Linked DNA regions of Elephas maximus indicus. The protein of the gene in region 1 interacts with the protein of each later gene in a pairwise test. Links are inferred from orthologs where the notes say so. Each region holds a gene or a part of one and is shown on either strand. Other genes may lie near its edges.

The links.
Region 2: the proteins of SEC22A (region 1) and STX4 interact in binary tests that used the Homo sapiens proteins (3 or more experiments, as listed by UniProt). The two-hybrid records come from large-scale screens. The link is inferred for Elephas maximus indicus from reciprocal best matches to the Homo sapiens genes SEC22A and STX4.

Annotation. Positions count from the first base shown.
Region 1 is NC_064819.1:14,019,083-14,022,830, reverse strand, and holds the start of SEC22A (vesicle-trafficking protein SEC22a), read right to left. Parts: upstream 2,724-3,748; 5' UTR 2,655-2,723; exon of another isoform or gene 2,227-2,654; intron 1-2,226. UniProt on the Homo sapiens protein: May be involved in vesicle transport between the ER and the Golgi complex.
Region 2 is NC_064830.1:90,287,218-90,290,965, forward strand, and holds the start of STX4 (syntaxin-4), read left to right. Parts: upstream 1-1,101; 5' UTR 1,102-1,341; coding exon 1,342-1,371; intron 1,372-1,558; coding exon 1,559-1,660; intron 1,661-1,776; coding exon 1,777-1,876; intron 1,877-2,013; coding exon 2,014-2,088; intron 2,089-2,604; coding exon 2,605-2,675; intron 2,676-3,748. UniProt on the Homo sapiens protein: Plasma membrane t-SNARE that mediates docking of transport vesicles. Necessary for the translocation of SLC2A4 from intracellular vesicles to the plasma membrane.

The DNA.
Region 1 (3,748 bases):
AATTTCTGAATTTTCCACAATATTCCACAATGGGCATGTTACTTTTATAATCAGAAAAAATACTTTTTATTAAAATAAAGCATAAGGTCAGAAGAATATTGGTTTTAATATTGTTCTCAATCGATTTACCAGAAAATAAATCATAATGGCCTCTTTTATTGAATTCTGGTCAGGCTTTACTAAAACAGATTAAGAAACTAAAACAGATTAAGAAACTACACAGGTCTAGGTCTGAAACCAATCAGGCAGGTAGAGTGAAACTTGATAAAATACACAGTAGTTCTCAAATGTTAGTTCATATAAGAAATGCTGACATTTGGTTAGAAATATAGATTGCTGGGCCCACCCCCCCCAAAATCTGATTCATTGACTGTGGAGTGGGGCTTGGGAATCTTCAATTTTAACAAATTCCCTCCGTGATTACAATGTTTATTGTCTAAGGGCCATACTTTGAAGAACACTGAATTAAAATAATGCCCATGGTCTGAAATTAAATGATAACTCTTCTCCACCAGGCCATCAAACTCAATGCCACTAGATGCTTCTCCTTCACTAGCAGTAGGGGCAACCTGTGAAAATCCAAAATTCTGATTAAAATTTCATGATTTTTTTCAAAGGTATTCTACCTCAGAGACTAAATTAATCCTCACCTGTCCATTTCAGCTAGATGATGATCAAATGTGTCAATCCCCAACATAGGTGTAGCACCTCAGAATTCTAAACAGTGAGGTAGGCAGAAGCTCCATTTTACAGATGAGGAAATGGAGGTTCACTTTCTCACTGTCACACTGCTAATATATGGCAGAACTGGTACTTAAACCTAAGTTCCTTGTATTCCTACATCACGTTGCTATATCAGTCCCCCAACACCAACAAGGGTCAAGAATCCACTGGTACAGAAACTATCTAGCTACTCATTTTGAACTAACAGAATGACAGCTTACATTTTTTTTAAGAGGTAGTAGTACAGTGTAGTAGTTAAGAGGATGGACTCAGGAGCCAACCGCCTGAGTTCAAGTCTTGGTTCCACCATGTACTAGCTAGGTAACCACGGTCAAGCTAATTTGCCTTTCTAGACCTCAATTTCCTCGCCTGTAAACTGTGGCTATTAATAGTATCTACCTCATAGGGTTATGTTAAAGATTAAACGTAAAGCACCTGAAAGCAATGCCTTGCAGACTCTAAGTGCTATGTTAAATATTTGCTCTAGGGTCGCTATGAGTCGGAATCTTCTCGACAATGAGGTTTTTTATTCTTTTTATTGATTACCTTCTATGGACCAAATACTTTACACACATTGCTTCATTTAAGCCTTCCAATAACCTAGGAGGTCAGTATTATTAGCTCCGTTTTACTTTGAGGAAATTAAGCCCAGAGAAGTTTAGTAACTTGTTCAATCCCCAAACTAGTAAGTAACACAGTAGGGATTTAAACTCAGGCCTAATTCTAATCACCCTGAGACAATGCCCCTCGACAAATCCAAGATTCTCACTTAAATACATAGAAAGGAAGGTCAGTCATCCCTTTGATAGGACCTGGGCTTCTTTCACACAACAAAGTAAAATATACTTAGTTGTTTGTTTTAATCAGTGACACATCCCCCAAAAAGAACTACATTGATTTGATGTTTCTCAATGTAGGAAATACCAGATGGCCCATTAACTTAGGGCATGGTCACAAGTGTCTGATTCAAATACTGAACAACGACCTTCACATGCCAGGAATTGTAGCTAGTGTTTAAGGTACTACCTAATTCCCTGCAATATCAACCGTAAAGAAATGACGAGAAGTAACTCGGAATGTGATCCAGAGATTTTTTTTTTTTTTTAAGTGGCTAGTTCCACCTGTCGGCTGGTGGCTGGAACTTTAGCCCTGAGCTGGGTTTTGTTTGGCTGAACAGATACAGGAGGGTCTGGTTCTCGGTCTCTCCACACCTACGGTTCCAGGTGAATGAGCAGGAAACTGAGGTGCAGGAGAAAAATCCAAAGCTGTTTTCACTGTCAGAGACTCAAGCCGGCTCGGGCTCGGCCTCCTCTTCCGGAATCCACCTCCACCTGTCGAACCAATTGCTCAGGTCTCCCTTCCGCCACTTAGTTCCTAAAGTGCCACTAACTAGGCCTCCTGGCTCAATACCTCCAGAGGTTTCCCCGAGCCAAAGCGGGCTAATTTCTGGGCTCAATGCTCATTCAATCCCACAAAACGCAAAGTAACTGATTCAGATCTCACCCTGCCTAACAGAAATAGGAAATGCCACCTCGAGCTCTCTCGGTCCAACTCAGCAGCCAGGTGGATCACCGTACTCTTGTCATTCGGGCGGGCAGCCCAGGCGACTGTTCCTCGCCCCTCGAGCACCCCCCCTGAGGCAGGTCAGCCGAGGGGCAAGCGCCGCCCTCGCGGATCACGGACCCCTAAAGCCGGAGGAGGAGACAGGGTCCCCGCATGCCCGCCCCTCCAGAGCTCCGCGGCTCCAACGACAGCCGGCTCCCGCCCCCACGGCTCAGGCTCGGTTTCTGTCCCGGAGTAGGTTCGAAGTCCCCAGAGCCTGGGCTAGGGCCGAGGCTGGGCGGGAGACGGGGAGCGCACGGGAAGAGGCCAGCCCCGGGTCCGAACGGCCTCGAGGAGCCCAGGAAAGACTGGGAGGGGCCGGGCCGTACCTGCCGAGCCAGCACCCGCCGCTCCGAGTGACGCCTCCCGCAGTGCATTGTGGGCCAGGGAGCGGCCTTTCCTCGGGGCCGCACCGCGTCCAACGTGGCTGGCGCCCGACGGAATCAAGCCCCGCCCCCGCTTCCCCGGCTCCCACAGACCAATCAGGTTCTGTGAGAAGGACACACTGACCCGCCCTCACCCGGGGCTCGCGTTAGTCCCGCCCCCTCCAGGGGAGATTGGCAGCGTCCCTCGCACCTGCGCCAGAAGAGCGCTTAGTTCTGTGACAAAACTACGTTGTCCCACAGAAATACGGCTAATTCCCCCTGCCTGCCGCCCCTGGTCTACAGGCAGTCTGTCTCTCACACACAGCCCTGCAGCAAACACTTACCCTGCCCCGTAAAAAAAGGGGGAAAGGGAAAAGCGCCCTGTGGGTGAGCGAGGAAAATGCCTGTCTCCATCTACCATCACCCGCAAGGAACCTAACCCAGAGAAGTGCCAGAGGCTTCTAGCCTTCGCATCAGCCATGCGTTATTAAGCAAATATTTACTGAGCGTTGACCATGTGCTATGCACCGTGTTACACATTGGGTTACAGGAGTGAACATAACACAACGGAACTTAAGGTGTAATAGGAACAACAAACATTAAAATATAAACTGGTACATGACTTTAAATTGTGAGCAGCTGTAAAAACGGTATGGAGGTGGTGTCTGACCTCCTTTGACTTCACAAGGTGTCTTAGTCATCTAGTTCTGCTATAACAGAAATACCACGGGTGGATGGCTTTAACAAAGAGAAATTTATTTTAGCACAGCTTTTTTTAGTAGGCTAGAAGTCCAAATTTAGGGTGTCATCTCCAGAGGAAGGCTTTCTCTCTGTCAGCTCTGGTGGAAGCTCCTTGTCATCAGTCTTCCCCTGGACTAGGAGCTGCTCTGTGTGAGGGTCCCAAAGACACACCCCACTCACAACACTGCTTTCTTGGTGGTATAAGGTCCCCGTTCTCTGCTTGCTTCCCTTTCCTTTTATCTCTTGTAAGATAAAAGGTGCTGCAGGCTACACTCCAAAGAAACTCCCTTTACGTTGAATCAAGGATGTGACCTTAG
Region 2 (3,748 bases), on another chromosome or scaffold:
AAAAGACCAAGAACAACGAGCTAAATCTTCAGATACGTAGAAGGCTAAAATTCTGTCAACAAATATTTATTGAGGGCCCATTCTGTTCTGGGTACTGAACCAGACTATGGGGATTCAGTTAAGGACAAGCCAGTCATGCCCCCTCCCTCCCCCCGGCCTCAAGAACTCACAGTCCACTGTAATGTTGAATGTGGGCATTTTCCTGTGGACTCCAGAGTAGAACCAGGTGGAAGGCGGGGGTGGGGGTGTAAGTGGCAGGGAAGGGAACGGTTCGATATAACGCAGACACTTTCCTCAGCCTGAGCTGCCCCGAAATGGCCTTGCTGCTTGGAAGGTGATGAGTGCAGCGGGACTGCAGTGTTCAAGCAGGGCGGCTGACCGCCCACCTGTCAGAGGCTGTGCCAGGAGTATGCGGGAGAGAAGATTCTGCTTTGGGTGAGGTCACTTTCCACCCCCAGATTCTCTGCCTACAAAGCCCTGCAATTCTCTAACGCTAAAAACTCAGATCTTATTATTCTCTGACTTTCAAGGTCCCATGATACTGACAGCTCCAAACTCTAAGTCAGCCTCTGCCCACGCCCCTGAACCCAAAAGAAATAAGAGAAATTCAGCAAGGGTCCTACCACCCACTGCCTCAAAAGGCCTCTCTGGTGGTACTCAGCGTCGCCCCCCAACTCTTGGGGGCTGTAGGGGTGTAGCTCGGTCGCGGGAGAGCCGGGGACATCGTGGGGAGGAGGGTGTCCCAGAAAAGGAGTTCATAGAGCCGGTACACGTGACACTGAAAACATCAAGTTCTGCGGTCCGCGGGGCTGAGATGGGGCCGGTCACATGACGCAGGGGGCCACCATGGGGTGATGTGAGACGAGGGGCCTCTCATATGACGTCCAAATGACGCATTCCCACCCCTTTTGGCAACTAGATTTCCGTTGGAAGATGAGACTGTTCCCGTAAAGGGACCGGGTTCTCACATCCTTGAAGTTTTGCTTCCGTTCGGGGCGCCACAGCTTCCGACTTCCTCCTCTCCCTGGGGCAAGGGAGAGACGCGTCCTTGTGCGCATGCCCCGAATCTTCCCAGCGGGGGCGGGGCTGAGGCTACGGGAGCTGGTAGGGGGGGAAGAAGAGGGAATACCAACCTGTGGAATCGGGGGGGTATCCGAGGCTGGCTCCTTCCCATTGGCTGTGGACCGTGCAAGGGACAGAGCCTCTGGCGGCTCGTGGAGGTGTTGGGGTCCGCAGGGTGAGGGAGGGGAGCGTCAGAGTGTGAGTGGGGAAGGGAGTTCCAAACTTAGATCCTTGAGGCCCTCGGGGCTCAGGCGCGGGGGAGAGGGAGCTCGGGCCGTCATGCGGGACAGGACCCACGAGCTGAGGCAGGTGAGGAGTCGGTGCAGCAGGGTTGGGAGCGGACAAACGGGGTGGATTTGGCTGGAATGCGGGACTTCTGGTCCTCGGGGCAGGGAAGGGTGGCTGATGGCAGGGAAGGAAAGACCCGGAAGCCCGTCGGTTCCGTGGGGCGAGAGCAGTAGCAAGAAAGTAGTGCCAATGACCCCGGCTCTGGCAGGGAGATGACAGCTCGGACGATGAAGACAAGGAGCGGGTCGCGCTTATGATGCACCCGGGCACGGCCTGGCTGGGGGACCCGGACGATGAGTTCTTCCAGCAGGTAAGGGGCTGCGGTCTTGGCCTAGATTTGCGAGGGGACGGGGCTGGAGAAAATGAAGAGCAGTGCGGCCTGGAGTACCCCGTGTCTCCTTTAGCTTTCGCTGTCACCCTCCCCAGGTCAGGACAATTCGGCAAACTATTGTCGAGCTGGAGAATAAAGTCCGGGAGTTGGAGAAGCAGCAGGTTACCATCCTGGCCACGCCCCTTCCCGAGGACAGTGAGTGAAACCCCGGGTGCAGAGCGCATGCTCAGTCCTAGGGGTTGTGGGGGTTGTAGTTCCATGCAGGTGGTGGCCGGGGTGGTTGGTTGAGGTAGGAACTGTTGTTTTGGGAGTTATGGTCATCTCTTGTTCAGGCATGAAGCAGGACCTGCAGAACCTGCGCGAGGAGATCAAACAGCTGGGGAGGGAAATCCGCACACAGCTGAAGGGTGAGCTCCTAGAACTTCAGATATATCCTTTCTTCTGATCCTACCTACCTGCTGGTACATCTGGGGAGTGTGGAATGTGTGGCCCAGAGAGGCTGGTGGTATATCCAGGTCACACAGTAGGCCTCTAAAACCTTGGTCTTCCAGTGTCCAGTCCAGCACACTTTCCACAGCAAACGCCTGATTTTTTCCTGTACTTTTATTTACAATGAAACCATTGACTCCTACAATTCCTCCTGCCCAGTGTGCATTCTTTGTGCAAGCAGATGGGGGTTTTATTAGGAGACCTCTGCATACCTGTGGGAATTGACTGATGCATTGTAAACCAAAAATACACTTTCTACTCTTAGAGGCTTAGAATTAATCATTTTACGCTAAATTGTATTTCCCTTAAAAAGTCTGTGGATGCAAACACCTTCCTGTTGTGTGGCTGGGGGTTGGCCCTCGCTCTGTGTCCTCATCCTCAGTCTTCAGAAGCCACAGGTCAACCCCTGCCCTTACCCTGGTGTCTTCCCACAGCAATAGAGCCCCAGAAGGAGGAAGCTGATGATAATTATAACTCAGTCAACATGAGGATGAGAAAAACCCAGGTAGGTTTCTTGTTCTGAGAACTAGGACATTCCAGCAAGTGTTTCATAGATCATTAGATGGCAGAAGTGAAAACAAAGGGCCCTTAGAGATCAAGTCCAACCTGATAATTTTCCAAATGAGGAAACTGAGGCTCAGAGAGAGAAAGGGTTCACCCAAGGTCAAGAACCCAGGTCTTCTGATTCCCAATCCATTTTAACAGTTGCTGAGTCCCCAGATATGTCCTAGGCTCAGCTGTGGGAGATATACTTTCCTGAGGTGGGGAGTTACAGGTTGAGTAGGACTTGATGACTAATGGTGCTCTGCCCAAGGAAGGAGAGGGAGAAGTCAAATGACTAGGGGTTTCCAGCCCACATGACAAGGACAAACTTGAATTTGGGAAGTCAGGAAGAGGAACTGCCCTGAGGGAAAGGTCACTGAATCAACATCTTAGTTAGGAGCTTCGAGGTGATCTGATGGGCCCCTTCTGGGTGTCCAGTGAGGACTGGTTGGGGTTGTTGGAGGTCATGGTTACAGTAGGTGAGCCCAGAGCTCAGCAAAGACCTCAGATCAAAGAAGGAGAGGTTTGGGCATCTTGAGAGCAGATGTGCCTCTGAAGAAGGAATGCAAGGAATGAACGCATTTCAGACATTGGGGGAAGACAAGGCAGGACAAAGAAGCCTCACAGAAGTCCAGAGAGGGTATTTCAGCAGGAGCCATGGTGGATATTTTTGTGAGAGGCAGAGGGCCTAGACAGACCTGTAAATCTGTACGTCAGGCTGACTGCCAGGAGTCCTGGCACACCTGTAGGCTCTAAGGAGAGAGGCCAGCAGTCAGCAAACATTCAACAACTATTTATTGAGTGCCTACTGACTTTTCTTGTTGTTTGGGTTGCAAAACAGTGAACCAAACAAAGATCCCCACTCTCATAGAGCTTACATTCTGGTGGGAACAGACAATCACCACAGTAAACATTAAATTATTTTAGAACATTGTAAGTATTAAAGAAAAAAAACAAAATAGAGCAGGAGAAGGATTGAAAGTGCTGGGAGAAGGTAGGGTTGCAATTTAAAGGTGGAGAAGGCCTCATTCAGAA